6 separate regions of the Mus musculus genome follow, and regions 2, 3, 4, 5 and 6 are each reported to be linked to region 1. The links are microRNA targets in miRTarBase. Many come from high-throughput screens and were not tested one by one. Region 1 holds a microRNA gene; each other region holds the end of a gene's coding sequence.
What was found. The annotated mature microRNA mmu-miR-709 reads GGAGGCAGAGGCAGGAGGA and lies in region 1 at 2,729-2,747, opposite strand. An mRNA with a match to its seed (bases 2 to 7 or 8) in the 3' UTR can be bound and repressed. Matches are read on the target gene's strand: a 7mer-m8 pairs with bases 2 to 8, a 7mer-A1 pairs with bases 2 to 7 and ends in A, and an 8mer does both.

Region 1 (4,000 bases):
AGCTGGGTCTTGGCCAGCACGAGGCTTTCAGGGATTGAACTCAGGTAATCAAGCTTAGTAGCCAGGGCCTCTACCTACTGAGTCATGAAAGAAGGCTACGCTGGGTACCCCTCACCAGCTCGGAACTCTGGAGCCTCACACCCACTCATGCTTCTGCCTCCCCAGTGCCGGGGTCACACAAGCACGTGCCACCCAACCAGGGTTTGGTACCATATTTATAGCTTCCTGTGAGCCTATAAGTCTTTCAAATAAAACTGAAAAAGGAAAAGCCCACAACACAGATCCTCAGGGACCTTAGCCACCTGGGTGCAACAGTAACCGAGGTGAGAGGCGTCTAGTCCAGGCACAAACAACGTGCACCTTCTCAGCAGACCTGCTCGCTGCACCAGAGGACCCACAGGGTTGAGAAATCAGAAGGTTTGCAGCAGTGGTTTATTAAATAGACTAAACTAGTGAAGACCAGCAGCCAGGGTGTGCTGCCATGTGGAGGGTGCAGTGTTCTGACCTGATCCATGGTCCTGACTGATAATGGGCCCAACTTGGGCTGACTTCAGCTCTGCCACTGTGATTGTAGGAGCTCCCATCTCTCATTTCCTATCAAGCCACCACCAGTTCTGACTAAGGGCATTTCTGCAACTGTCCTCAGAGCTTCACATAGCAGCTGAGGTACAGAGTGGCTGAGCAACACCTAAGGCAACACCACAGATGAGACCAGGCCCTAGGTCATATGAGCACTATCACTGAGCTATGCCTTGGGCCAAACTTCTGCTCTCTGAGTACTGCCAGGTTTTTTTCTCGAGTGTTCCCCCCACCCTCACCTCTGAATAAGGCGAACACTTACTGTGGCTGGTGAGGCACGGGTGGTGTGGGAGTAAGACTGGCTGGCATTGCCTAGCATGTAGCCGCCTTGGATCACGTAGGTGCCTGCTCCGCTGCCGCTGCTGCCGCCACTGCCACCACCACTGCTGCCGCCTCCCCCATTGCCCCCTGCACCCACACTGCTGTTGCTGGCCCCAGCCTCGCTGCTGGATGAGCTGGCGACAATTGGGCTGCCGGACACATACATGGGCACTGAGCCGCTGCTGGCCACCGTCTGGGAAGTAGCCGGCGTGCTGACCTGGGCAGCCGTGCCCGAAGCCTCATAGTAGCTGGTGCCTGCCGTCTGCGTGTAGATAGGCGTCTCCGGGTACTGGTAGGTGCTAGAGCGGCTGCCAAGAAGCAGACAGGAAGCAATGGTCACCACCTTGTACAAGGAGGCAGGGGTTCCAGGAGAGGACCAGAGAAGCCACAGAAACACCAGTGTGGCACCTTCACATATAAGGGACTGGGGACAGCCTGAGCACTGGATGGGCAACCACTTTCTTGTTTTCTAAAACATGTCTTTATATTAACTTATTACTTGGAGAGGGGCACATGTGTTCCGTGGCATACACACAAAGGTCAGAGACAACTTGTGGGAGGCGGGGCTCTCCTTCCACTGTGGGTCCTGGAGACTGAACTCAGACTGTAAAGCCCGGCAGCAAGCACTGCTGAGCCATTGAACCAGCCCTCGCTGGGCACTGAGCCACAGCACTCCAGCACAGGAATCACTCTCCTCACTGGTACTGAGCCACAGCACTCACTGGTACTGAACCACTGCACTCCAGCACAGGAATCAATTTCCTTACTGCAGAAGAGGAGAAAACAAGACAGGGTCCAGAATGCAGAACGTACTTCCTCGGCAACAACGACAAACAGTTCTCAGTCCAGGGAAGGGAGATACAGGAGGGAAGGCAAAGTACAAAGGACTGCAGGGTAGGCAGAGGGGCCGCCTTGGCTACCTCTTCCTGGCAGGGAGCTGCCCCTCCAACTCAGAATATGTCCTGAGTGCCGCATAGGGTAATAAGCCGCAGATCTAAGAGGGGCAACTGTAGCAAGCAAGCCACCCTAACATTTGGGCCCATCTCTGCAGGCTGCAGACTAGAGGGGGTGAGGCAGGAAGAGGAGACGCAACATGATTGCCTTGAGTCCTCCACTGGGTACCGATGGACAGCCAGAAACGAGAGGTTGGGATGAGGAAAAGACCACCCTGTGTGTAGGCAGAAGGCTCTCTGTGGGGAGGGGACAGGCAGGGCCACCTCTCACTTTTGCTCTTTGAGCCCTCCCAATGTGACAGTGATTAAAGCAGGAAAACTTGAGCCTTGCAGGTGGCTCAGTGGGTGGGGATGTTTGCCATCAAGACCGAAGACCTGGGGTTGATCCCCAAAGCCACACAGCAAACAGACTCCAGTGTTAGCATTGGCACTACGCTCAATACATGGTGCATACAACCCCCCCCCATCATCCCATGCACACACTCGAACACATGTGTATACACACACACACACACACACACACACACACACACACACACACACACACACACACACACACACACGAGGGCCAGCAAGGTGGCTCTGGGGTCAGAGACTCACCACATGAACCTCTTACCTAGTACTTGAGTTCTGACCTCAGGTCATGACCTTGCTTCTCAGGTCTGATAAGCAAGAAGCAAGCCATTTACTGATTTATCTCCCTAACCCCCAAGAAAAATTGTAAGACAGAATATGCAAGCCCGAGGAACTGGATTTGCCCCTGCAACCTGTGTAAAGGAGAGAGAAAACGGACTCCTCTAGGTTGTTCTCTGATCTCCACCTGCACCACAGCACATGCACTCTCCCCACACATAAGTCAATATAACAAAAGACAATCCTCCTGCCTCTGCCTCCCCAGTGCTGCTCAAACAGGACAGTTCTATGCTCAGAGCACTTCTGAGTAGAAGCAGAGAAACGGGACACACTAATTACTCTGTGGGACACTGAGGGTCAGATTGAGAACCTGTGGTTCCAGCACGAGAGAGGAAGTGTCAGGCAAATCTCTGAGTTCAAGGCTACCCTGGTCTACAGATCAAGTTCCAGGGCAGTGAGGGCTATACAGAGAGACATTGTCTCAAAAAAAGTTTATGTTGTAAAAATGTATGTATAAATACATATATGTATGCTTTTTCTTTCCCCTTTTCCTGCCTAAAATCCAGATCCATCTAACTGCACAGCTCCTAATTTGTGGAGGTGCCTTCCCAATGGGCCAGTGTCTCTTCTGCTACCAGCTGCCTATATTCCTGGCACCCCACAGGTGTGGGGCTATCACCTGAGCCTTGGGGGCCAGCTGGGAGTTAGAATTGTGGCCCTAACCACATCTGAGCCCTCCTTCCACCCTCTGCCCACTTACATGGCGCTGGCTGTGTAGCTGGCATCGCCACCTTCCACGTACTGCACCTGGCTGGAATACACGTGTGGGACAGGCACCTGAGGGAGTTGCTGTACCTGAAGCAGGAGGAAAAGCAGGGTCATGGGTCAGGGCTGACCACCACCCACGGGTTCACTGATGCCCACATACATCCCCATCTAGAAGGTTGCACATCATGGTTTTCTGAACAACATGGGCCAGAGGTGGGAGGCTTAGGTAGGAGGCTTAGGTGGGGCCAGGTCTCAGTTGTGGCTGGAAAACAGGAGGTGCTGGGATTCTCTGCTTTGGCAAAGAGGTTTCTAAGGCTTATGAGCAAAGGAGGGGATACCAGACAGAATTCTGCAATGGGCTTGAGAGGTGGGTTTGCAATCTAAAAACCGGGCCTGGGGGTTTTCTGGAAACCAAAAAGGTTTCCCAAGCAGATTAGGGGTGGAGCCTGAAGAGGGATCAGTTGATAGAACAACTAGAAACAACTGACAACACCTTAGGGGCAGGTACTGGATAGCCTACCTCCACCCCCAACCCTGGTTTGCAGGAGCCGTGTCTGGGACCCAGTCCCTGAGGCAGAACAAGAATGACTGGCAGCACTTTGGGGGACAGGGTAAAGACATCTCACCCCACCCGCCTTGGGTTGCAGGGGCGAAGCCTGGGAGCCTGGACTTGAAGGCGAGGCAAAGCGGCTTGCTGGGCTGAATGCCCTTCCCCTGCCCGCCCTCCGCCCCCTGCCGTGCCTCCG
Region 2 (5,232 bases), not on the chromosome of region 1:
AGCTTTTTTTTAAAAATTATTTTTAAATCATTTGCTGACTAAAGATTACTAGTTACTATTGCAGTTGGTGCCTCTGTATTTCTTTCAGCTTTTTGAATTGTTAACTAGAAAAACATTTCTTCCTGTGGTTCTGAGACCTAAGGCACAGCACCTAGAAAGAACACTTTCAGTAACTGGTAAATGGTGCTTTATTCTAGTCTAACATTGTAGTTCTGTTACAGTGAAAGGTGATGACCTTCAGGCCATTAAAAAGGAGCTGACTCAGATAAAACAAAAAGTGGATTCTCTTCTGGAAAGCCTGGAAAAAATTGAAAAAGAACAAAGCAAGCAAGCAGGTAATAGTCTTTTAATTTTCTAATTGAATTTGGGTTATCTTCCTAAGGTGGTTTAATGTATATGCAAATTGGGCTGTTTGGAAGGGGCATTAATTTATTTGGAAAACTTTACTTTTGTTCTTTGATGATTAATGGGAATTGTCTATATCCTGTGGGCAACACTTGCCCCTGGACAGACTTGTCCTTCTCATCCCCAGTAGAGATGAAGAATGAAAAGTCTGAAGAAGAGCAGAGCAGCGCCTCTGTGAAGAAAGATGAGACTAATGTGAAGATGGAGTCTGAGGCAGGTGCAGATGACTCTGCTGAGGAGGGTGACCTGCTGGATGATGACGATAATGAAGATCGGGGGGATGACCAGGTGATTACCTTTGGAAAAAAGAAAGTTGGGAGGACTGGGGTCCAGGGATGAGAAGAGTACCTCTAACTCTCCCTTATTTGTGTCTTTCTCACAGCTGGAGTTGAAGGATGATGAAAAAGAGCCTGAGGAAGGAGAAGACGACAGAGACAGCGCCAATGGGGAGGATGACTCTTAAGCACATAGTGGAGCTTAGAAATCTTATCCCATTATTCATTTACCTAGGCGTTTGTGGGAGATGAAAGTAACACCAGGTCATCTCCCCTGGGGTCTTCTGCACATTCTCACTGTTGTCCCGCCTTACCCTCCCTGTGTTCATTAATTCATGATTGCCCTGCGCCTAGTTACAGTTCCACTTCCTTTGATGCTCCGTAGTACTTTCGTTAAGTCTCACCCTGTAAGTTTTGCTTTAATTTTGATACCTCTTTGACTTAACAATAAAAAGTTGTATGGTTTTTATCAACTGTCTCCAAAATAATCTCTTGTTATGCAGGGAGTACAGTTCTTCCCATTCATGACTTCAGTAGTTGCTTCCCTAACTGCAGAGGCATCTCATTTACTTGTAACCCCAAGAGCAGCTTTGCATTAGAGGTGTGTGTTTTCCCTCACGTGAGTGGGACTGTTACAACACGAATGTAACCATGTATTTTTGTGAATGGGAGTTGGCATGTCAAATGCATCTTACAGGAAAATAGTGTAATAGTCTTAATATTTGTTTTCTAAAGTTATACCATGGGTTATTTTTGTGAACAGCCTGATGTTTGGGATCTTTTTCTCAAAAATAAACAGTTCCTTATTAAACCAGGAATTTGAAGGAAAGACAATTTTTTTTTTTCCGAGACAGGATTTTTCTATATAGGCCTGGCTGTCCTGGAACCCACTTTGTAGACCAGGCTGGCCTGGAACTCAGAGATCTGCCTGCCTCTGCCTCCTGAGTGCTGGGATTAAAGCCGTGCGCCACCACACCCTGCTGGAAAGAAAGTTTTTCAATTACATTTTTTTTTTAATAGCAGCCTCCACAAATCGTTAGGTTGTATTAAATATAATCTTCATGCATACCAATATATATGAATAAAAGTCATTTTGAGAGCATTGTTAACTTTAAATATTTTTGACACGGAGTGCTTGAATGTTCAGTTACTGATTAAAACCCAGGTTTCTTTATTGCATTCTCAACCTGTGCCTCAAAAGTTTCAAAATAGGAAAGCATTTGTCTTTCCCGTTTTATATAGCATTTGCCTTCCTAAGAACTGAGTCTATAACGAGAGTTATAATTACCCATGTGAAGTACTCTTACCCCTTTTCTTGATTTGTTTGAGTCAGCTTGGAACATTTTGCTGTGTAAGACCTAACATAAGGTAAAGGTATAAACAGATTTGGGGGCTTGTTTGTTTATTTTTGTATAGCAGGCTATTCAAATCTTTTATGCACACAGACTTTCTACTTCTCAAAAAGACCCTGTTGTGTATATCTAGCATACAGCTGCAAGTCTATGCTTTCATGCTATGCATTGTAGGCAAAAGTAACCCATGATAAAACTGAGGAGAGGCTGATCTAGGGGCTTCCCTTGGCTCCAGTGTGCAAATATAAAAATGGCTTTTATTGTGACCCCCCTCTGCCCCTTCCCCTAATCTTGATATTGTCTTGGGTTTTTGAGGAATTGGCTAGATATCAGAGGTTAAAGATGCTAATAAATAAAACCTGTTTAAATATGCTGTTAGAAGCTGGTGTGTACAAAATGCTGGGGTGGGTTCAATTAGTTCAGTATTGGGTACTTTCTGATATTGGGTATTGTATTTATTCAGGTGACTCCCCCGCCCCCTCCCCCCAAAAAAAGCAGTTGGGAAATTTGAGAATAAAGACTGTGGTTCTGTCCCTTTTCATAGTTGGTATATACATCAGCAAAAGACTCAGGAGCCTGTGTCTTCATAGGAACACTAAGTGCCAGCATGTGACTAAAAAAGGGTGTCATCCCTGGCCCTCCCTCAAACTGCTGTTGCTAGTTTATTTTGGAAACTATTTAGAACTATTTAGATATTGTTAGAGAACTATTTAGGATATTTTACTGGTGGTATTAAACTAAGTTAATACTAAAACTTGTCAAGTTAAAATGTTCACAGGTTTATTCCACTATGAGAATATCTTAAGTCTTTCAAAGTTGTGAGATTTTGTTCATTTCTAGTTTTTTAAAAAAGATTGGGGTGGAAGATGGCATCAGATCTGATGTGGCTGCTGGGATTTGAATTCAAAATGTCACTGCTCCCAACCAGTGAGCCATGTCTCTAGGCCTCCTTTCTAGTTGGGAATACAGAGAATTAGGAAATAATGTAGAGGACTGGAGAGATGACTCAGTGGTTAAGAGCACTGACTGTTCTGAAGGTCCTGAGTTCAAATCCCAGCAATCACATGGTAGCTCACAACCACCTATAATGAGATCTGACTCTTGGAGTGTAGTACAGTTTTATGAATTTCAGGAATATAAGAGCAGTATCTCCTAACCCATTCCCAAATCTTTTCAGTTTCTGCTGTTCCTTGATTCCAAGATAACCTTGAGTTTTCTGTGTGTCGTTATGGGTAACCAAGAAGGTTCCACAGGTAAAAGTATTTGTCTTGTGAGCCCCTGCTCTGAGTTTGATTCCTGGGATACCTATATAAAGGTGCAAGGAGAGCTCTCACCTCATGTGCACTTTGGCATATGCACTCATCCACATATCTCACACAAGAGTATGTGTATTTAAATGTACTGACTCAGTAACAGAATAGCACCTTAAAATTTACATAAGCCATAAGTGAGACACATTGGCTCTCCACTTCCTATTACCTGAAGATTCTGGACCAAAGTGTCTTTTTTTTGGACAGGTTCTCTCTGTGTAGCCCTTGCTGTCATGGAACTAGCTCTAGATCAGGCTGCTCATGAACTAGAGATCCACCTGCCTCTAAGGCCTGTGCCACTATTTCCCTGCTACTCTGAAAAAAAATTTTTTTTTAATTTTTTTTTTTTTTTTTTTTTTTTTTTTTTTTTTTGGTCTTTTCGAGACAGGGTTTCTCTGTGTAGCCCTGGCTGTTCTGGAACTCACTCTAGACCAGGCTGGCCTTGAACTCAGAAATCCGCTTGCCTCTGCCTCCTGAGTGCTGGGATTAAAGGCGTGCGCCACCACTGCTGGGCTAAGATATATATACACACACCTTGCACCTTTATATATGAAATACATAGGAAACAGACAGCCAGGGCTACACAGAGAAACCCTGTGTCTTGGGTGTTGGGGAGGTTTAAATGTTTCCATCAAAGCTTAGGAATCCACCCACTTCATAGTGCAGCCCACTTCCCAGCGCTATCCCATGGCCTTGGGCCTCAGCAAGGGCCACAAGGTGACAGCAAGCCGCGCCTCACCAAGCACACCAAGTTCGTGCGGAGCATGATCCGGGAGGTGTGCGGCTTCGCAACCAACAAACGACAACTCCAGTTGCTCAAAGTGTCCAAGGACAAGTGCGCACTCAAGTTCATTAAGAGAGTGGTCAGTGGTGGCACACACATTTAATCCCAGCACTTGGGAGGCAGATTTCTGAGTTCGAGGCCAGTCTGGTCTACAGAGTGAGTTCCAGGACAGCCAAGGCTACACGGAGAAACCCTGTCTCTAAAAACAAAGGGTGGGCACGCACACCCACGCCAGGAGAAAGCCGGAGGAGCTGAGCAACGGACTGGCAGCCATGAGGAAAGCGGCAGCTAAAAAGGATTGATGAACCCTCTCCAATAAAAGTTCCTACAAAAGAAAAAAATGCTTAGGAATCTATGGACTTTGACTTCTATGGATGTCTGCCTTGCCTGTCCTAGTCATGTAAAAAAGTATCCATGTACCAAAGCGCTCTTGATTCTCAGCCAGTGGTCTTAATGGGATGAGGTAGTATAGACAGACAGCCACACTCAGCTGCCAGTCTGTCTCACCCAGACCCTTATTAACTTGTGTAGAGGGTCTGTGACTGAAAACCTTAGCTAAATATGTTGTGTGCAGAACTTTGCACAGAGCTGCTTCCGTAACACTGCCTGCCTGCTATCAAGGCTTCGTTCAGAAGGCTTTGGCTGCCCTCAAACTGCTTTTTTTTACATTGTTTTGTTTTTCGAGAGAGGGTTTCTCTGTGTAGCTCTGCCTGTCCTGGAACTCGCTTTGTAGACCAGCCTGGCCTCGAACTCAGAAATCTGCCTGCCTCTGCCTCCCTGAATGCTGGGATTAAAGGCGTGCGCCACCACGTCCGACTTCAAACTGCTTTTATGTTGCAGCTGCTCCTCTGCTCTATCAGATTTCCCATATTGGGCTAGTCTCAGCTTCTGAGGGCTATTTTAGTGTTCTGCCTTTAGCTCCAGTAGGAACAACCTTTTGTAAAATCTGATCCACAAGGAAGATCGAACAGTACACCCATGTCTGGTATAGCCTCTGTCCATCTGGGAATACAATCTTCCTACTGTCTCCTTCAGTGGGTCAATCAGGCATGAGCCCAGTATATTTATTTCCTGGTGCTTTCTAGGTTTTGGGTGGGTTTTGTTGG
Region 3 (5,232 bases), not on the chromosome of region 1:
GTCCCATGGGTCACTTTCAGATTAGGTTGTTTATTTTCTCAATATTTAGGTTTCTTTGGTGGGGGGGGGGGGCTAATACTTTAGATGTTCAGGGCTCTAATGCTCTATCAGATGAATATCTGGATTTTTTTTTTTTGAGTATTCTATGCAATCTCACAGCAAATCTAACACCAAATCATCTCACACCCAGTGACGTCAGAGCAGGTCAGCTAGGGATGCCCTCGGGAAGGCTCAGAGCATTTACTCGTTTGTTCTCCCCCTTATTCTCTGTGTGTAGTAAGCTGACACAAAAATTTTGTGTGGTTGGATTTCCACATTAACAAACCTAGTAGGTTTCTGTAGACAATGGAATTACCCGGTTTCCTATTGTCTTCTTTTAAGGCCCTTGTCTAATATCCTTAGGTCTGGAACAACCAAATCTGTCTTACTGGCTTAAAATTTTTTGATTTATTATTATTTTAGTGTGTGTGTGTGTGTGTGTGTGTGTGTGTGTGTGTGTGCAGTACCCCTGGAGGCCAGAAGTGGGGATTATATCCCTATTGTGGGTACTGGGCACTGGACTCAGGTCCTCTGCAAGGGCAGCATGCTTTCTTAACCACTGGGTTTTTTTTTCCAGTTCTCTTTTTCTGTTTTTGAGGTTCACCTTTCATTTTCTCTTTTATACTATAATTTATGGATATTTTAAATTGCTTATGAAATTCTGAACTTGCATATGTATGGTTAGTGACTAATCTTCTTTATTCTGCTTCTCTTTCCAGATAGAAGAATTTCGAAGGCTGAGGACACATGTCAAGGGGGCAGAACTGGTGGAGGGCTGCGATGGGATTTTGGGAGACAATTTCCGACCTACCCAGCCCCTGAGTGATAGAGTCATCCGAGCGGCCTTTCAGTAGCCAGAGAGACCGGGAACAAACCCATCTGCATCAGTGTATGTAAAATTAGACAAGGAAGTGAGACACCTTAGCCCAGCATCCCAAAGTCATTCTACAGACTGACTGCTGAAATGCATGTCACTGTAAGACATTATGGTGCATCCTCTGGCTCCGTTAGTCACAAGTCAGGGCAGTCCTTTCGTTTCATGCAATATATTTTCTTAAATCTTTATTTTCTCACTTGAAAATCCTTGATCCCAATTTCTGCCTTACTGGTGGCTTTCCTAAGGAAGAACACGTGGGGTTAAGAGGCAGGAATTTGCAGCGGTCTCTTTAGCATTCACTTTGTCATCTGAAGATACAGCAGCAACTTCCTGTGATCATGGAGCATGAAAGGCCTAGAAGAATTAGCCTTCCTGTTTAGCACCTTGTAGGGTCATTTGTTCAGCGGTGTATGAAGGGCTGATTGGGCATGTCTGAAAGTCCTGGAGAAGTCTTTGTTGTTAGCATATGTTACTTATACAGGATAATAGGTTTATGTGTGACATTTTCGTGTATATGACCTACTTTGGTCATGTTGCTCCTGCCCTTTTACTCTCTTTTGTTTGCTTCTTAGAAGTGCTTTTTATTTGCTAACTGAAGAGGCATATATTTTAAATAGTATTATTTTATTGAATGACATATTGAATTCATCATATTTATTACTTATGCTTAAGAAGTTCACAAACAGGAGAAAGATAAAAAACACAAGGTTACTATGTATTGGAATCTTTCCTTACCTTGTAAGCCACCTAAGTGTGCTTTGGTCAGAGAAACTGTAGCAGACAGCTGCTTCCCACAATGGGGACACCTCTGCTACAACAGAACCTGAAGGAACAGGACAGAGCTGGGACTGGTGATGAACCCTTGAGAGTATGTCCTGATATGTGAGTTGTATTAGTAACATAGCACAACTGTGAAGTCACAGTTGAATGGAAAGTTCAAGCCTTGAAAAGCTCACGGTCTCATGACCTGCCCGACCGCTATTGATGGAGATTTTCAAAAGGCAATGATATCGTCAGTCTTCTCTTCTCTCTGCTTTTAGTCTGTAGTGGAGACTTTAGCTTTCTGGAGTATGCTTTGCTCACTCTATACTATACATCCTTCCTTTTGCCTATGTGACCTCTCAACTGCCTGGAGCTCAGCTTAAACACCAGTCTCAGTAGGGATTCATGCTTTTCGCTTACTTCATTTCCTGACCCATCTTCCATATAGCTATTTACGTCTTTCTTATTTTTCTATTGTATCTCTGTGGGTTGGGATTGATTTGTTTCATCATGAATCCGCTATAAGACATGATGTGTTGTATCTGGCTTGTCTCCAGGCCAATTAGTAGTTTCTCAGAATGCACGTATAGAACAGTCAGCCTCAGGTATTCTCATCTCTCAACCGGCCAGTGTAGTACTCCCTCTAACTTGAGACAATGAAGGTCCGGCAAATCCACCATTGCTAGCAATGGGAAAAGTATAGTAATTCAGATGTTTAGATGAGAAAGTCTGAGTGTGCTATAGGCCAAACTTCAAAATAGATAAGCCGAAGAAGTAAAATGAGTTACATCCAAAGTTATTATTGAGCATTTTTTCTGACTGTTGTGGGTGTACCCAGAAAGAAATACATGGTTCTGCCCTCACAGAATCTAGAATCTGAGGGAAGAAGTTGACAATAGAGTAGTAAGTGCTCAAAAATACACAGTTGCAAATAGTAATGCTTCATATGAGTGAGAAGAGCTCAGGAAGAGGCAAAGGAACTTCCAGGAAGGGAAAATATCTTTCTGCAAAGGCCTCATGGCATGCTTGCTGTGGAGGAGGCAGGGCATAGGTCCACTGAGATCCCTGAAGGAAAGCCTGGTGTGTTTAGAATAGAGAAATAGAGGCTGAAGTATGAGAGACCCACGCAGCAGATGTTGTCAGTCACACTAACGTATCTTGATATTATTCTGGATGTATCATGAACCTGTAAGGACCTTGACTCAGGGGAGTAACTTTATCCCATGTCTCTTTAATAGCACACCGTAAGAAGAAATAGAGTAGATTGAATAAAAGTGAACCAGAGCAGGAGCAGAAAGATTTTAGAAATCTGTTGGGTAGCCAAAATGATGGACATGGAGACCCAGACCTTAGATTGGAAGCAGTGGCAATGGAGAGTAAATAATGCATAGGACATAGAAATTATAGACGGTATCCACTGATGAACTGGGTAAGGCAAAGGTGGAAGGAGATAGAATTGCCAGATTAGGGAGCCTCAGGTTACCGTGCAGACATGGCCAAGTCCAAGAATCACACCACACACAACCAGTCCCGCCAGTGGTACAGAAATGGCATCAAGAAATCCCCGTCACAGAGATATGAACCTCTTAAGGGGGTTAGCACCAAGTTCCTGAGGAACATGTGCTTTGCCAAGACGCACAACAAAAAAGGCCTGAAGAAGATGCAGGCCAACAATGAATGCAAAGGCAGTGAGTGCGCGCGCAGAGGCCATCAAGGCCCTGGTGAAGCGTCAGGCCATCAAGTCCAAGATGCCAAAGGGCCCCAGCTGCAAACTCAGCTGCCTGGCTTTCATAGCTCACCCCAAGCTTGGGAAGCAGATTCAAAGCTGCATGGCCAAGGGCCAAAGGCTCTGCCAACCAAAGCCTAAGGTTCAGACCAAGACATGGGCCAAAGCTCCAGCTAAGACCCAGGCTTCAGCTCCCAAAGGTGTCCAGGCCCCTGTGAAGGCCCCACAGAAAAGGCTCCTGCCAGTGTGAGGACAGGTAGACTGCTGTGACACACCTAGCCACACACTATTTGCAGATGACCAGTGTCCTATGCTATTTTTACAAATAAACTCAGGCAAGATCTGTTAAAAAAAATTGTCAGATTAAATGCTGAGGTTTGGGTCTTAGGAAGCCATGCTTAGAATACCATTGAATAACAGCAGGAAAGTGGAGGAGGCCATTTTGGGATGAGAAAAATAAAGAGTTAAGAGTTTGAGTACGTTGACAAGGAGATACCTGTCCATCATAATAGTGGGCTTGTATAGGAAGCTTGCTAAAATTTCAGGTGTGGAGACGCACTTGTCAATTTTCTCATTGCTCGGACCAACTATCTGACAGAAACAACTTAAGGACTAAGAAGTTGTTTTAGCTTATAGTTTCAAAGAGTTCAGTCCATGGTGCTCAGCTCTGTCTGTGTAGGCAGAACATGATGGTACTAGGTCCTTGTGATAGAGGACCTTCATGGTAGACAGGAAGCAGATACAGAGAGAGGCCAGGCCAGGATACAGCTCAAAAGCCATTCTCTAGTCATATGTGTCCTCCAACTAGGCATTGCACCTGCCTCTCATCCTCTCCATCACAGGAATCTACCAAAATATTAATACACTGGGTTGGTCTGAGCCCCTGTGATCTAATGCTCTGCAAACAGTGCTGAGCTTTTTAATCTCCTGGGCATTTCTTAATCTAGTCATGTTGAAAATCAAAATGAAGCATCACACAAGATCAGAAAATTAGTCTGTGTGAGATATGAAAATATTTGTCACAGAGGAAAAAATGGCATTCAAATGGATCAGAGGGGTTATTTCACTAAGTGTTTATGGAATCTTACGTGGGACTTTATAGTAGAGGTAATTGAAAGCCAGGCCAATCACCGCCTAAAGGAAATTCATTGCTTGAACAGTGAGGTTGAAAAGCTGACATACACAGCTTGGCTGGCCTCCTTTTTCTTCACACCCTTAGGCTGGGGTCAGAGAAGGTCTCCACTGTGATGCGAGTGGCTTAGCAATGAAGGATGCATGTTGCTGGGGCTGGGGTTCGTAGAAAGGGCTACAGGTACGATGACTGGACACTTCTGAGAAGGGTGTTTGTTTAACTTTACAAATGGCTACCCAGTTGTTTCTCAAAGTACTTTCAATCCCACCAGAAAGAAAGCTCCAGGTCCTTCACACCACCAGCACTGTTGGGCTTTATTGGTCTTCCTAAAACAGCTATTATCACATCAAGCGCACAGATTAACAGTATTCATTGTGATATTTTACACATACATGTCTGTGTTTATGATGATACAGTGGGTCAGGTGAAGCAGAACACTGAGATTGATTTTAGTTTGAGCACAAATTGTCTGTGTCTGTGTGTGTGTGTGTGTGTGTGTGTGTGTGTGTGTGGTGGGGCGGGGGGAGGAGCAGAGTGTGCAGTTGAGCAGTTTGTTCTCTGGGACAGATTTTAGTGTTGAAGACTTTGAGCCTTGAACGTAGCAACCCAGAGCACGCACCAAGACAAGTTTTGTGAAGAGCAGGTGCTTTGTGTGTTCCTAGTTGAAGGAAGAAAGGGGTGCTGATTGGGCCTGTC
Region 4 (5,232 bases), not on the chromosome of region 1:
AGAAGGCCAAGTGTCTGCTGGCCAAGTGGAGAGGTTTCTATAAGAGTACACACTGCAAACCAAGGCAAAGCCCTAAAGTACTCCACACAAATGCTAATAAAGAAGAAAGTGCAGCAGTTTCTCAGGATGTAAGCCAGGATGAAACCTCAGGCTCTAGCCATAGTGAGATCATGGGTCTCTGCAGTTCTCTCTCTAGGCTGTTACCCCAAGATGCTGCAAAGCCTGCTGCAGCAATTGGATCTGAAAGTAGCACTGCTCAAATGGAAATTAATGAAGGATATTTGAAGGGTGATGACTCTGAATGCACTCGCAAGAGCTCAGGTGTGTTTCAAGGTACTTTAGTGTCTGTGAGATCTAAGTGCGTAGAACTTCTTTACACAGCATTAGCTAGTTCTTGCACAGATCACACAGAAGTGCACATATGGCAGAACTTAGCAAGAGAAATTGAAGAGCACATTTTTACCCTTCATTCAAACAATATCAAAAAATATAAAACTAGTATTCGAAGCAAAGTTGCCAATTTGAAAAACCCCAGAAATTTTCATTTACAACAAAACTTCCTCTCTGGAACCATGTCTGCAAGGGAGTTTGCTGAAATGAGTGTCTTGGACATGGCAAGCCAGGAACTCAAGCAACTGAGAGCTTCCTACACAGAATCCAGCATTCAAGAACATTGCCTTCCCCAATCAGTTGATGGCACATGGACAAATAAAATTAAGTGTAGGCGCTGTGATAAATACAACTGCAAGGTCACTGTGATTGCCAGAGGAACACTTTTCCTTCCAAGTTGGGTGCAGAATTCAAACCCAGATGAACAAATGACCTATGTCATTTGTAATGAATGTGGGGAGCAGTGGTACCATAACAACTGGGTATGCTTGTGATTTGTAAATAATCCTTTTAAGGGCATATGTTTTATATGTATAACCTAACCTTTTGTGCTTGGTTTTTGGTTGTTGTTGTTTTGTTTTTAGTTTGTTTTTTTTTTCTTTTCTTTTTTTGTTTTCCTTCGAGACAGGGTTTCTCTGTTTAGCCCTGGCTGTCCTGGAGACCAGGCTGGCCTCGAACTGAGAAATCCACCTGCTTCTGCCTCCCAAGTGCTGGGACTAAAGGTGTCCGCCACCACTGCCCGGCTTGTGCTCTTTTTTTTTTTTTTTAACAAAATCTTAATCTTATTTTTGCCTTTGGGTTTTAGTTCATGAAAGATGTCATTATATAGCCAAAGGTGGCCCAGTCTCATGAGTGCTTGCATTATAGGCGCACCTGGCTTTATATACTGCTCTTACTACAACCCTAAGACTAAGGAAAGAGAGTTATTTGCCAGAGTGTAGGCCATAGAAAGCTATCACACTACTTTGTGGCCACTTAGTGCTTTACTCAGAGTGGCACTGTAGCTCCACACTACCTGAGAGCATGTTAGAGATGAAACTCTTGCTCCTTAAGTCCTGATCTGCATTTTAACAGAGTCCCCAGGTTATCCTCTGGGGTATTTTGAGAATCACTGACATACATAGCATTAGGCCTGAAGTTCTCAGGAATGACTATATATTAGAATTTTCTGGAGAACATTGAAATGTACTGGTGCCAAGGGCCAAGCCTATACAGTTCAATATGAACCTATGGCCTGGACCCAGTAATCAACACTGCTCTGGTCATTTCTTGGTTCCTGTTAAGTTGCAGTTAGAGTTAGGAACTACCTGTAGATAGTCTCTCATTTGAGCCTTTCTATAGTTCTGAAGAAATTAATGTTATTCTGGAGTTTACAGATGAGGAAAGCAGCCCACTTGCCCAGGTTACACAACTGTATGTAGTCGGCTTCACACTGATCCCAGGTTTTCCAGCTTACTTCTCAAGCAGGTGTGATGGCACATGCCTGTGGTCCAAATACTAGGGAGAATGAGGCAGGGGATTTATGTGAGTTCCGGCCAGTTTGACTTGCAAAGTTCCTGTCTCAAAACTGTTAAAAGGGAATCCTGTTTCAAGCCTGTAATCATAGCGTTGGGAATGCTAAGGCAGAATCCCATAGTTGAGGGCAGCCTGAGTTAGATAGAGAAACACTGCCAAACTCAAAAATATTCAGTCTGAGGATGACTTAATATTGACTTTGTAAGAAGTATACTCTTGGAAATAGGTGCTAAGCAAATAGTGTTTGGGACCTCTAAGCTTATGTGACCGGAGTTTTACTCTTTTGTCCTTAATTTTCTCATTTTCTTTTGACTGGTGAAAAGTTGCAGTGTAAGTTAGAATTTGGCTCGAAGCCTGCTTCCTTAGTTGAATGCCCTGTGTTTTGTTTTTTTTTTTTTTTTTGAGCACTTCAAAAAGTATGATATATAGTTCCTTAATGTTAGGACTCTATATACCTTCAGAGGCATGTGTGTTGGGATTGAAATTCAAATTCTGATCATGTGAAAATGGCACTAGTTGTTAGAGGAAGTCTCTCCTTCAATCTCAGCATTTACTTACATACTAACTGAAGAGAAAATCACGTCTCCTAGTTCTTTGTAAACAGTGTTTACTGATTTGTATGCTTATTCACAAGCCTTTTTATGTGACCATGACTAATTTTTTTCCTTAAAAATAATAAAATGATTGTCTTTCTGGGTTTTGATTTTTTTTTACCATGTAAAACAATTTTATACATAATCAACACAAAACCTTGCATATATGTGCTCCTTTTACAGTTAATCAGGTGATTAGATATACATTTTCTCTTTTGTTGTTTGACAACAATATGTGAAGAGTTTCTATTTTTATAAGACTAGCTTCACTCTGTTGCCTAAGCTGGGTTCAAACTCACACTGGCTGGCCTTAACCTCCAGAGTGCTATGATTGGCAGTGTAAGCCACCATTCATTGATTTTATCATATTAAAGAGTTTTTATCTTAGTTCCATATGAACTCATATTTTAACTAGTTATTATCCCCTAACTCCCCAGTATTCCTTCATTGGGATCTGTAGGCTTTTCTTTATATTTTTACCTCCGTATGACAGTTCCCCAATAGTTGCATAAAACTAGCAAACATTTCTGTTTTAGGTTTTTTGAAGAAATCAACTTGAAGCTGTCAAGTCTGAGTTATATTTTGTTATATTTTCTCCATATGGCATTCCAGGGTGGTTCACCATGGTGCAATGTGTTAGTCCTTTACAGAGTGACTTACAGAGTCATCAACAACTCAAAGCTTTCCCAAAATGTGGTTTCATGTGACTTGGAATGATCTTAAAACCTAGACAGTGGTTGTGCAAGAGCAGCACACACAGCCTATAAAAACCTTGTTTCATTTGTCTAAATCAGTTTGATGTTTGGATTTTCTATGTAACTATGTATTGTTTTTTATATTGCGATTTTGTAAGCTACATTTACCAAAAATAAAAGTATTTGAAATGTAAAAATCTCTTATTCTCCAATATTTTTTTAATTGTATGAGATCTTCCTTATTTCCCATAAGCTCTGTCAGTTAGTTTTGCAACAAGAGATAGGGAAATGGTGATGTAGGTTTCATTCTTTTGGTCAGTGAGACAGTTACATTTTCTAAATATAGACAATGATTTTACACTGTGTCTTATCCCCTAAAAAGAGAAAGAAGTTTCCCCCTCACTCTTTTATTCCCTAAAAGAGAGAAAATAGTTTCTCTTTTCTTCTCCTCTACTCTCCCTCTCCTCTCCCTCTCCTCTCCCTCTTTCTCTCCCTCTCCTCTCCCCCTCTCTCCCCCTCCCTCTCCTCTCCCTCTCTCCCTCTCTCTCCCCCTCTCTCTCCCTCTCTCTCTCCCTCTCCTCTCCCTCTCCTTCTCTCTCTCCCTCTCCTCTCCCTCTCTCTCTCCCCCCTCTCTCCCTCTTTCTCTCCCTCTCCTCTCCCTCCCTCTCTCCCTCTTTCTCTCCCTCTCTCTCTCCCTCTCCTCTCCCTCTCCTCTCCTTCTCTCTCTCCCTTTCCTCTCCCTCTCTCTCTCTCTCCCTCTTCCTCTCCCTCTCTCTCTCCCTCTCCTCTCCTCCTCCCTCTCTCCCCCTCCCTCTCCCTCCCTCTCTCCCTCTCTCCCCCTCTCTCCCTCTCCCTCTCTCTCTCCCCCTTTCTCTCCCACTCCCCCTCTCTCCCCCCTCCCTCTCCCCCCTCCCCCTTCCCCTCCCCCTCTCCTCTTCTTCTTTTTGTTGTTGTTGCAGGGTTTCTCTATATAGTCCTGGTTTCCTGGAACTCACTCTGTAAATGAAGCAGGCTAGCCTCAATCTCAGAGATCTCTCTGGCTCTGCCTCCCAAGTGCTAGGATTAAAGCTGTATGCCATCATTGCCCAGCCAAAGGAGTTTTGTTTTGTTTTGTTTTTTGTTTTTTTTTGTTTTTGTTTTTGTTTTTTACAATTGCTGATGGGGCAGATTCTAATTTAAAATGGCCCTTATAGGAGCAAAGAGCAATTCTGAGGACTCCAAGATTCCGGGAAGGTGCCTGCTAATAAGGAACAGCTGATGTGAATGAGACATGATGTAAAGGACTCCACAGAGTTCCTGAGGTCCATTGTAAGTCATGATAACAATAAGGACTTGGAGGCTTTGGGGGTCTAGGGTGGTTTGTGTTTAAAAAAAATTATTGAACTTAGGTGATTTGTAGTCATGGGATTTGAGTGCCTTTTAGGAAGACCATTGTAGCTGCTTTGTTGAGTGATGAGAGAAACAAGGATGGATGCAGGAACACCAAATAAGTGACCATTAACAATGGTCAAATTAAAGTATAGAAAAAAATAAGCCAGGCGGTGGTGGTGCATGCCTTTAATCCCAGCACTCAGGAGGCAGAGGCAGGCGGATTTCTGAGTTCGAGGCCAGCCTGGTCTACAGAATGAGTTCCAGGACAGCCAGGGCTACACAGAGAAATCCTGTCTCGAGAGAGAGAGAGAGAGAGAGAGAGAGAGAGAGAAATAAAAAAAGGAAAAATATACTTTGGCTGCATCCTGATGGTTAATGGACCCCTTTGCAGTTTTGCAAATGTCTGTTTCATAGAATATGCCCAATCCAAAATTTCCTCCCTGTGGCCAATCATCAGATAAATAACAGTGCAGAATGTGAGCACTAAATACATATAGCCTGTACCCCAGTCTCCATGGTAACGGCATAGGGTGGGAAATCCATTTTAATAGCTGAATGTGGGAAGGTTTCCTCCTTTGTTCGTACAACTTTTTAAAGTGAAGGCTTGAGTACAATCGTGGCTCTGTCTCTTCCCCGGTTAGGTTAGTTCCTGTGATGAGAGGCTTCTT
Region 5 (5,232 bases), not on the chromosome of region 1:
TAATTCTGCTCCATTCTCTAATTTTGGACCCATTGGGACTCCAGATAACAGGGATAGGCGGCCTGCAGATAGGTGGAAAACTGATAAACCAGGTGAGATCCACATTTCTTTATCTACAAGGCAAAGGGGGGTGGCTTGCTCTGATTTTTGCCTGAAGTTTGATATTTGCCACTTACAAAACATTTTGTATTCTTACCTATTGTTATCTCTTAGCCATGGGTGGTTTTGGTGTTGATTATCTCTCAGCAACGTCATCATCTGAGAGCAGTTGGCATCAGGCTAGCACTCCGAGTGGCACCTGGACAGGCCACGGCCCCTCCATGGAGGATTCCTCTGCTGTCCTCATGGAAAGCCTAAAGGTGAGTGCTCACGTGGCTCCTGCTGCAGCAGTGTCTCTGCTTTTATCCCGGATTGAGAGGCGTCTTGAGTGTGTTGTCAGGGCATCCAAAATGCTAGAGCATTTAGTTTCATCCTAATGTTAAATCCTGTTAAGTTTGAGTTTAGCCTTATTTGACTTATTAAATGAGTATGTAAGCTGGGCGTGGTGGCGCAGGCCTTTAATCTCAGCACTTGGAAGGCAGAGGCAGGCGGATTTCTCAGTTCGAGGCCAGCCTGGTCTACAATGTTTTGTTTGCTGGAAACCTTATATTAAACTTACTGTCATGCCATATGAACTTGACTTAAAACATAGTTGATTTGACTTAAAACATAGTTTGGGCTGGACATGTTGGTGCATGTAATTCCAAAAGAGTGGTCGGAGTAGGAGGAATAACCTTGGCTTGGGGTTTAAAAAGTTGTATTCCACTGTTCATAGTGTCAAAATTATCTTAGTTAGGAACTGTCTAGTCTTGAGAGTTCCATGACTTTTAATAGAGCTGAGTTGATTGGCATTTAGAGTGGATTTAAAGGACAAATTTGTCTTTATGGGTGGCTGAGATTTAAAACAAATCCCTGTCAGACAGCCAAAGCATTTGCCTTCTGCTGACAAGTTTTGGGGCTGTTTTTCAGTCTATCTGGTCCAGTTCCATGATGCATCCTGGGCCCTCCGCTCTGGAGCAGTTGTTAATGCAGCAGAAGCAGAAACAGCAGCGGGGACAAGGTGCCATGAACCCTCCACACTGAGGCCACAGGAGCAACCCAGGGAATGAAGGCTCCATAAACCATGGCATGTTGGGTTTGCAGGACTGACCCACACAGTCTCTGCAGGTGGCAGCTCTCTTGTCTGTTTCTTGCTGTCGAGAGGGTGTAAGTGTTCCACCAGCCCGCTGAGTGTGCACGAAATGTTCGCAGTGCAACAAAAAGAAAAAACCATCAGGAACTCTCGTTCCCCCGGGGCTTTCCGGAGGGAGAGAGGAGCTGCTGTTTGTCCCACTCGGTTACTGATAGCACGCCTCTCACCTTCTCCACCGCGCATGTCCCCAACACGTGGGAAGTGGAAGCTGAGAAGGGAAGGCAGATGGGAGAAACCAATAGGAACTTCTCAGTCCTTTTTTCCTCTTTGGGGAATAAAATAGGAATCCATTATGAGTGCTTTGCTGACTGAGAATGTAGTTGAAATTATTCTTAAACATCTTTTATTATTACTCTCAGTAGCAAAATATCACACTGAATTCTTCCATACACAGGCGTATTTCTAGTCAGTGTGGAGCAAAGACAGTCCCGTTTGCTGCTCCTGTGAGAGGTCAGTGGTGACAGGACAGGGAACTGACCTCTTAAGCCAGTGGGAGTGTTTCATAGGGAGGGTACAAGGCCTCTTAGAAGGTTCTGGGAGAGGCCTTCCTCCAGCCTGGAAACTCCAGCAGGAAATGCCCTTCACTCTGTAGGTGCTCGAGCCCCAATAGAGGATGCAGTGTGGGTAGTGCTGCTGGCCTAGACCAGCAGATGGCTGCTGTACGATTTCAAATTCATGTGGTGGATTCCTACACTTTACAGTAGCGTAGCAAGCAGTCTCAGAAGGCAGGCTAGTTCATTCACGGCCTGGAACCCATTTTAATAGGTGGATGCTTTCAGTGTGGTTCTTTTTGTTGAGTTGGTTTTTGTGTCCCCATCCTGCTTCCCAGCCTCTTGCATCAGTCTCCACCCTTTAGCCATATGCTGTACCGTAGTCATTGTTTTCTTCCTACCGTGTACAACATCTCACCACGAAACAGCAGCATGGGGCCAGCACTTGGGGCCCAAAAGCCTGAAGTCTGAAGAGGAAGGAAGCGGCAGTGCAAGCGTCACTGCAGAGGAGCCGGGCTATGCCCAGTCACAGCTCCTGGCCTTCACCTCGAGGATGAAGTTGAAGGCCACAGAGACAGATGCACACTGTGCACAGAAGAAAACACAGCAGATGCCACTTTGGAGAGGGCAAGAGAAAGGAATAAACTCTATTTGATAATTTATATTAGGAGGAAAGAGGACTGAAGATGTTCTGTGTAGGAACAGAAGAACGGACAGCATTTCTGTTAGTCATTTCCTGGAAAAGTAATATTTTAATGGGAAATTATGGAAACAATCTAAATGTCCAATTGCTGTGCTAGGGTAGGGATTATTTTCTGGGAGGTGTGTGTGTGTGTGCGCGCGTGTGTGTCCCACACATGGCTTTCTACTCTCCCAGAGGGCAAGGGCTAAGTGTGGGAAATAGTGTGGAGCTTAGCTGAAGGACAGCTGTAGAGCAAAGCACATCCAGGAGCCCCAGGTGTCACTGGGGTCTGGGCAGCCCCGAAATGAGATGGGGTAAGGTATTGCTCATTGCTCTTCAGAAAGAGTGCTTGAAGCCCCAGGCTTACTCTATTGCTCTTTTAGTTTGACATGGTATTTGGATTTTTTTTCTTTTTTCTTTTTTTTTTTGTTTTTTTGTTTTTTTGTTTTGTTTTTTGGGTTTTGGTTTTTGTTTTGTTTTGTTTTTGAAAGGTCTGAAAGTGAAACCCTTCACTAAATGGCAAAAGAAACTGTCTGTGCTGCTCCAGTCCCTCCCTGTGTCCATCTTTGTCCTCTCCCTGTCCCTTCCCTGCTACCTTCACCCAGTTTGTGTATGTAAGCTCTGCATTCAGACAGCTGCAGCATTCCGAGGTTGGAAATGTCACTGATTCTTGCACCTTAGACCAGCCAACAGGTTTACCAGTTCCCTCCCTGCAGTACCCACTTCCCAGCTATAGCCCCAGTCTGCATGAGAATTTGGTGTTTGGAATGTTTATGACTCTCTCGGCGGGGTTCCTCGCCTTGCCATCCTCACTGTGGGGTAATGAAGAAGGGGAGGAGAATCTTCATCAACTGGTTTTGTGTAATAAACTTTCGTGTTTTGTTTTGATTTGATTTGATTTGGGGTTGTTTTTCCCCCCTGTCTGTCTGTCTGTGCAAGATCTGCAGCTGCTGAAATCAGCTTTGCCTTTAATTAAACCGTGTTCTCTCCAAGCAGATCGGTGTGTAGAGGATTTATTCTACCTTAAAGGATATAGCAGTAAAAATACAGCTTAGAACTTCAACTGCTCACTTGTCAGCAAGAAACAAAAATGGCCACAACTGGGTAGGCTTGGGGATGGGTTTTGCTTTTCTTAGCATCCAGTGACTTGTTCTAGAAATGCTAGCTTAAAATGTCTGCCATAGCTGGACAGTGGTGGCGCATGCCTTTAATCCCAGCACTTGGGAGGCAGAGGCATCCTCTGGCCTATAAAAGCCATTGAATCTGATGAAAGCCAACAGTGATGGCTGTGATCTGGGGGGTGGTTGATTTCTCTTCCTGTTTGTCCATCTGAGGGACAGAAAGGGCTGTCATTCTAAGAGTTCCATTCTCCTTGGGACTGGATGGTGTGCTTCATGGGAACCTGATTCAATCTGCCTTTTCTTTAATGCAGCTTAAGTTTTTTAATGAGTTGTCTGTGTGTACCTTCAGGATTACATATAAATTTGCTTTAAGCTTCTGGAACCCAAGCAATTAATAAAGGAAGAACCCTTTATTAATTATTTTTCCACTGAACTGTTGGACTTGGACACTGGGTGTCCTGTTTTCCCAGCAGAAAGGTGTGCCCATTGGTGTGCAGCTCTGGGAATTCTTAAGTACATTCACGTAGCCAGCACACACACAAACCTTCATTTCCTTTGCAGAAAATTTGTCTCCCCCTCCTCCATCTGTAAGAAAATCTTCTGAGTTGTCATATTGCTGTGTGACAGGTTCAATTTTAATAGGGAAATGGTAAGTTAGGCCACATTTCCAAACTGGTGTGTCTGTATAGCGCACAGCAGAGATGGGTAAGTCTTGCAAGGGGAAAAACAACACTTTGCTTCAGCTTTGTAGATCCTAGACTTCTCTGGGAATGCCTTCCAAATTCTTGGCTGCACATCCTTCAACAAAAGCCTTCGGGAAAATGCCAACTTTCCCTTTACACTCCCCTTCCAGCCATTCTTCATTCACTGATAAAAAGCAAAATATACACTGATTACTAAAAACGGGAAAGATTGTACCATCGTGAGTGGTCCATTGACCCTATTAGTCATCCCCTGTTCCCATTTATGGTAGCAAAATAACTGGAAAGTAATTTGAATATTAGACTTACCATCTAACGGGGTTCTGTTGTGGATGCAATAAATACACAGTAAAATGTAGAATGAATAAGACTGAACATGAAGCCTCAGGTCAGAATTGTTTTTAAGAAGTAGTTTTATCTGAGCTCTGCTAGAATTCATTTTGATAACATGAAAGGGCATGGTGGTAAGCGCCATAAGGTTCATCAAGGCCTTAAAAATTGGAGCTAGTGATAGGTTTAGTACATTTGTAAAAACTATGCATTATAATAGCTATTTTAGGCTTTTAATGAAATGAATGGTGGCCACACCCAGATTTTCACAAGAATGGTACCCTTCCTGCCCATGTTACCCTGTAATCCCTAGGTTCCTAATAGTCAGGTAAGTCACTGACAATTGGCTGCCTCTGCAGCAGAATGGACCTCCCCTTCTCTCTGGAAAGTACTTGATGGGTTCTAGCAGAGACAGAATAGTTCCAGCCAGTTACATTCTGGAACAGTCAGTATGTTGTCATCATTTTGTGCCTAGTAAAGTCAAGGACAGGAGAAAGCCACGCATTTGCTTTTGCCTCCTCTTACCAAAATCTAGGAAGAGATTAGCTAAGAGTTGGTGTTTTCCTTTGTCTGCCCTTTGGTTTTGCTGATACATGCATGCCTCTGGTTCTGTGGCCTTGGGGTAGCACTTACCATGTGACAGTACCAGGATTACATCTCCTTCCACAAATTCCAG
Region 6 (5,232 bases), not on the chromosome of region 1:
GTTAAAGATGATATTGACCTACGCAGTGTTGTAAAAGAAATGCTTGGTTCTATAACATCATTCTTTTTTTAAGGTTTATTTTTGAATTTTTAAATTATTTTTTAAGTATTACTTTTTAAAGATTTATTTATTTATTTAATGTATATGAGTACACTATGTCTTCAGACACACCAGAAGAGGGCGTCAGATCTCATTACAGATGGCTGTGAGCCACCGTGTGAGTTCTGGAATTTGAACTCAGGACCTCTGGAAGAGCAGTCAGTGCTCTTAACCTCTGAGCTATCTCTCCAGCCCCTATTTTTATTATTTTTAAATCGTTTATGTATGTGTGTATGTGCACATTAGTACAGGTTTGGTGGCATCAGGCAAGCGATCCCCTCCTAGGACTAGAGTTACAGGCAGCTGTGATCTCACCAAAGCCCATGTTGGGGACCAAACTGAGAGCTCTTCAAACTCTGAACCATCATCTCTAGTCCCAAGGTTCCTCTTACTTTAGTTCTGAGATAAGGTCTCTCTGTGTAACTCTGGCTGTCCTGCCCCAAACCATTTAGATAAGGCTGGCTTTGAACTCAGAGCAACTTGCCTGCCTCTGTGTCTGCAGTGTTAGAGTTAAAAATAGGTGTGGTGGTGGCAGCTGAGGAGTAGCTCAGTTAAATCATGAGGTGTGGGGAGGAACTGGGAAATGTAGAGGGAGAGAAAACTGTAATCAGGATATATTGTATGAAGAAAGAATCTATTTTCAATAAAAAGGAAAAGGGGGATGAGGTGAGGAGGGGAGATAGCTCAATTGGTATGGTGCTTCCTGAACAAGCATTAGGTGTGAGCTCAGATGTTCAGTGTTCACTTAAAAGCCATGTGGAAGGGCTCAGGCTTGACTCGCTTTTCATCCCAGTACTCTGGAGGCAGAAGCATGTAGATCTCTGTTAGTCTCAGGCTACCTAGGGCAACATAAATCAGACTGTCTTAATACAATAAAAGTAAAAGAAGAAAGAAAGCTAAGTTCAGTGGTGTAGATCTGTGACCCCAGTCTGGGAAATCCCTGCGACATTCTCTTTGGTTAGCAAGCTCCAGGTAAGCTCCTGTCTCAGCAACAGCATGTCTCAAAAACTAGGGTGGAAGACAGCCAAGGAAGATAGCCATGCATATGCGCATACAAGTGCGGAGAACCTAGCCTCAAATGTACATCCACATATGCAAAACACACACAAACATCATACAAAAACAGAATACTTTTGCTAAATTAATGAAGACTGGGAGGCCATTTTACAGTTTGCATTTTCTGATATCTTTTTTTTTTTTTTTTGCCTAGGTGATGGACCACCTGGACTATTCAACAAATGAAGAAAATCCAGTGACGACTGATGAGCAGATTGTACAACAGTAATTACGTGGACTTACAATGATGTGTTATTGATTTCCTACAAATACATTTTGGCCTTTTTTTCTTTTTTGCTCTTGGAGACAGAGGCAGGACTGGAGTTCAGTCCTGCCTCTGTCTCCCAAAGGTTTAGTTAGGACTATAGCTGGACAACACTATGCCCAGCAAGTTTTAAATCAAAGTTTGAGTTGAAAATTGGGAACATTTACAGCGATGTTTGCAAATCTGTATATTTTTATGAGTTGGTAAAAATCCCATCATACATAGTGAAAATGCATTTTCTTTTAATTATGTTAAAATTGTGCCTTCACAGTCAGCTTAAAAACATAGCGTTTGTGTAGTTTCCAAACGAATTATATACATTATATTTTTCTAAAAAAGAAAAAAAAAAGCTACCCTGACCTTCCTTTGTACTTTTCTTAATGAAATATTTCTCCAAATGCTAAGGTTAGATCATGTGTAAGTGTCAAAGCAAGTTTCTGAGTATATTAAAGATTTATGTAACTTTTAACCCCTCTACAGAAATAAATACTTAAGACTGCAAGAAGACAGTTCATGTATATGGGTGTTTTGCCTGTATGCATCTGTCTGTACACCACATTTGTGCCTGGTACCTGGTGCCTGGTGCCAATGGAGACCAGAGGAGGGTGTTGGATTCCCTGGGACTGGAGTTACAGATGGTTGTCAGCTGCCCTTTGTGTTCTGGGAATCAAACCCAGGTCCTCAGAAAGAGCAGCAAGTGCTCCTAACTGCTGAGCCATCTCTTCATCCTTGTCGTTTAAGCTTTTAAAAACGTGTAACCCTTTTTAAACCTGAGAACCTAAATTCTTTCATCTGTGTACACATGCTACTAGACTGTTTTTTAGGTCGAAGGAAACATAGAAGTAGTTGTTAGAAGGACACCAGAACTGAATCTAGTTCTTATCTAGTTCCTATGGTTTACTTGAAGATACAGATTAAACTTCTGTATTAAACTTCAGTTTGTTTTTTTCTGATCTTTGAAATTTGATTCCATTAAGTAAGATTTCTTCTTTTAAATGTTTTTCTTAACTGACTAGATAGTATATGTTTAACTTATTGTTTGTCTTGACTATCCTGACAATACTTATATCATCTTCACCCTGCTTTCCAGTCCTTCTTGTGTAAGTGAGGTCTGGTAACCACAAGTGTTCTGAAGTCCATCTCTTTTCTCACCTCTAAAATGAGTGAGTGCTCCACTCATTTAACCACTTTGCTAGCTTGCAACCTGAAAAAAAAATTTCCTTCTGCAGGGCGTGGTGGCGCACGCCTTTGATCCCAGCACTCGGGAGGCAGAGGCAGGCGGATTTCTGAGTTTGGGGCCAGCCTGGTCTACAGAGTGAGTTCCAGGACAGCCAGAGCTACACAGAGAAACCCTGCCTCAAAAACAAAACAAAACAAAACAAACAAACAAAGAAACAAATACACACAGATATATTTCCGTCTGATTCTTTGCAAAATCTCAGGTGTTTTTCTAGAAATTAGAGGTGAAATTATCTTCAAGTTTTGTTTTGTTTTTTTAAAATTTCTCTAAGAAAGTACCAGGTGACAAGTCATCGCAGAAGCGCAGGCTTTTGTGTTTCTGTATCAACATTGCACAGGAGACGTGAGCAGTCCAGTCGTTCATGTTAAGGCAAAGCCAGCTTCTTCAAAGTAAAACAGGCATACTGAAAAATGGGTTAGACCTTTGATATTTGAACTAAAGTTCACATTAAATGCTTTTTTGTTTAATTGTTAACTTTTGCTGAGTAGATGACAAAGAAGCGGGACTGCTTCGTTCTTCTAGGTACCGGATGGGGTCTTTTGTTTACAGTAAAGCTATCTGGCAAGAGATAAGTGCCATTTACAATTCTAACTGTACTTTCACATCAACTGTCAATAAAATGCCTGCCAAAATACAGCTGTTTTAGTAACATCTGCATTCCCATTCAAGTCGCGATATTCAAAAGCAACAGTTACAATTTTATGGAGACTATTAAAGAAAATTATTCTTTTTAAAACCACATTGAAATAAGATGATATCTCAAAATAATTTGGTTTTATTAATTTGTAGCTAATATCTTAATTTCCTAATCTAAACTTTTGCTCCAGAAAACCATGAACACATCTACAAATCTGAATTCCAACTTATTGGAAACATTTTCTATTTTACCCAGCCATCATATTGTCTTCTATATGGTCTGGAGTGTATCAGTGTTAGAGTACTTGCCTACCATGTTCAAAGTGCCTTCCCCAGCACTGCCAATGAAACAACTTACTAAGTAGCTATAAATAACAAAAGAATTTCCTAGAGTCTCTCTACCCTCACTGCCAATTTCATGTTTACTTAAACAGCCCTCCTAGCAACATAGTTGAAAATACCTCCATAGAGAAAATAAAAGACAGAAATACTTTGTCTTGGAAATCAAAACTAATAGATACCAGAGTTGAAAATTTGTCTCTGAAAATTTGTCATCTCTTCCTCTCTTGCTAACCTAACACCAATACTTTTTAAGAGGTAGATAAGTTGGATTTCTTTCCCCTTAAACATGCTTTTAAAACAAAATATATTGTATTTATTAGTATTTACTACAAAATAAAATACTTGCTAGAAAGTTCCACACTTGTGGCTTATCAAATAGAAATCACTGATTTTTTTTGTTTGTTTGTTAGTTTTTTTTCAAGACAGAGGTCTCTCTGTGTAGCCCTGGCTGTCCTGGAGCTCACTCTGTAGACCAGATGGGCTTCTAATGCAGAGATCTGCCTGCCTCTGCCTCCCGAGTGCTGGGAAAATATTAATCATAAATGCATTTTTATTTTCTTCTAGCTTGTGGCTGACTTTAATTCGCAATTACACTTTATACTAGAATGTGATTCGATGCCCTTTTGAAGGAAATCTGTCCTTCCATATGCTGCTGGCATTCATGTATTTTAGTTACTGTGCATACAGGTTTGGGTAGAGTGGCATTTTATAATAACTCCAATGAGCTTTCTAAGTTCCTTTGCTCTGTCAATGTCCACATTTCTAAAGCGATTTTTCCGTCATGGGGCGCTTATCCAGGGCTGTGCACACACTGAGCAAGTGCTGCGCCCACCTCTGAGCAGTATGTCCAGCTCCTCCGTCTCGGCTCTAGGTCAAAGCAGGATTATTTTACATTGGATGAAAATATATCTAGTCTGTTAAACTGATTCGCTAGAACTCCGGTTTGATTCCTGTCAGTGAACTTTCAGAGCTGGCAGTTGGACTCCCGATGGGTAGACTACACTAGTTAAAGCAGCCTTTGTAGTTTTCTGTAAATAAGAAAAATAGACTGGATCAACTCAAGGATGTAGTGGTTGATCAGTTCAGCACGTCACGTGGTGGGTTTGACTAGGCATTACAAATACTATAAACAGCGTTCCTATTCCTTTGAAATATACATAAAAAATACCTACCATATATCTGGTTGGCCTTCAACTTCCCCCATAGGACAAGTGAGTGTAAATTCAGTAGCTTTTTGTCCACTTTCCCCCCTAATACATTGTACTCAAATTAGTAACTTTTTAAGAATGCATAATTGGATTTTTACTTCTTAGATGATTGGTTTGAATATGAGATTCTTTTTCTAACACTTTTCTATGTAAGTTAGTGTAAATTAATATTTTTATAACACTATTAGACTTTTTATGGAACATGATTTAAGACTTAAATTTTTGGAGTATTAATTTAGCTGTAAGTTAAGCTCTCTTCATCATGATGTGCCAATTCTGACAAGAAAAACAAAAACAACAAACCTTTCAGTGTATTGAATTTACTGTGTGCTCAATAAATTTTATTTTAAAATAAAAAATGAATTTGTATTCTTTTGTATGGGAAA

Region 2: the mRNA of Hnrnpc is a reported target of mmu-miR-709. Seed matches in the 3' UTR shown: 7mer-m8 at 1,609-1,615, 7mer-m8 at 1,615-1,621 and 7mer-A1 at 1,871-1,877.
Region 3: miRTarBase lists Car8 as a target of mmu-miR-709. The part of its 3' UTR that is shown has no 7-base or 8-base seed match.
Region 4: miRTarBase lists Tceanc as a target of mmu-miR-709. Seed matches in the 3' UTR shown: 7mer-m8 at 1,087-1,093.
Region 5: the mRNA of Ncf2 is a reported target of mmu-miR-709. Seed matches in the 3' UTR shown: 7mer-m8 at 3,629-3,635.
Region 6: miRTarBase lists Sppl2a as a target of mmu-miR-709. Seed matches in the 3' UTR shown: 7mer-m8 at 1,487-1,493, 8mer at 2,773-2,780, 7mer-m8 at 4,140-4,146 and 7mer-m8 at 4,146-4,152.

The regions. Positions count from the first base shown.
Region 1 is chr8:84,084,914-84,088,913 of GRCm38, reverse strand. Mir709 (microRNA 709) reads right to left here and starts at 2,815; the gene lies at 2,728-2,815. Rfx1 (regulatory factor X, 1 (influences HLA class II expression)) reads right to left here. Exons shown (of 21, transcript NM_009055.4): 8 at 3,247-3,341; 9 at 842-1,208.
Region 2 is chr14:52,070,716-52,075,947 of GRCm38, reverse strand. It overlaps Hnrnpc (heterogeneous nuclear ribonucleoprotein C), which reads left to right. Exons shown (of 9, transcript NM_001170981.2): 7 at 222-335; 8 at 512-693; 9 at 788-2,571. The coding sequence ends at 868. Among named protein-coding and RNA genes, the nearest start is that of Hnrnpc, 31 kb to the left of the region's middle.
Region 3 is chr4:8,165,292-8,170,523 of GRCm38, reverse strand. It overlaps Car8 (carbonic anhydrase 8), which reads left to right. Exons shown (of 9, transcript NM_007592.3): 8 at 759-928. The coding sequence ends at 893. Among named protein-coding and RNA genes, the nearest start is that of Car8, 71 kb to the left of the region's middle.
Region 4 is chrX:166,497,970-166,503,201 of GRCm38, reverse strand. Tceanc (transcription elongation factor A (SII) N-terminal and central domain containing) reads left to right here. Exons shown (of 5, transcript NM_001007577.2): 5 at 1-3,390. The coding sequence ends at 884. Among named protein-coding and RNA genes, the nearest start is that of Tceanc, 9.9 kb to the left of the region's middle.
Region 5 is chr1:152,835,162-152,840,393 of GRCm38, reverse strand. It overlaps Ncf2 (neutrophil cytosolic factor 2), which reads right to left. Exons shown (of 16, transcript NM_010877.5): 15 at 5,190-5,232; 16 at 3,404-4,392. The coding sequence ends at 4,280. Smg7 (Smg-7 homolog, nonsense mediated mRNA decay factor (C. elegans)) reads left to right here. Exons shown (of 23, transcript NM_001160256.1): 21 at 1-92; 22 at 214-359; 23 at 1,009-3,399. The coding sequence ends at 1,122. Among named protein-coding and RNA genes, the nearest start is that of Ncf2, 38 kb to the right of the region's middle.
Region 6 is chr2:126,890,364-126,895,595 of GRCm38, reverse strand. It overlaps Sppl2a (signal peptide peptidase like 2A), which reads left to right. Exons shown (of 15, transcript NM_023220.2): 15 at 1,310-5,205. The coding sequence ends at 1,384. Among named protein-coding and RNA genes, the nearest start is that of Mir3473g, 9.4 kb to the left of the region's middle.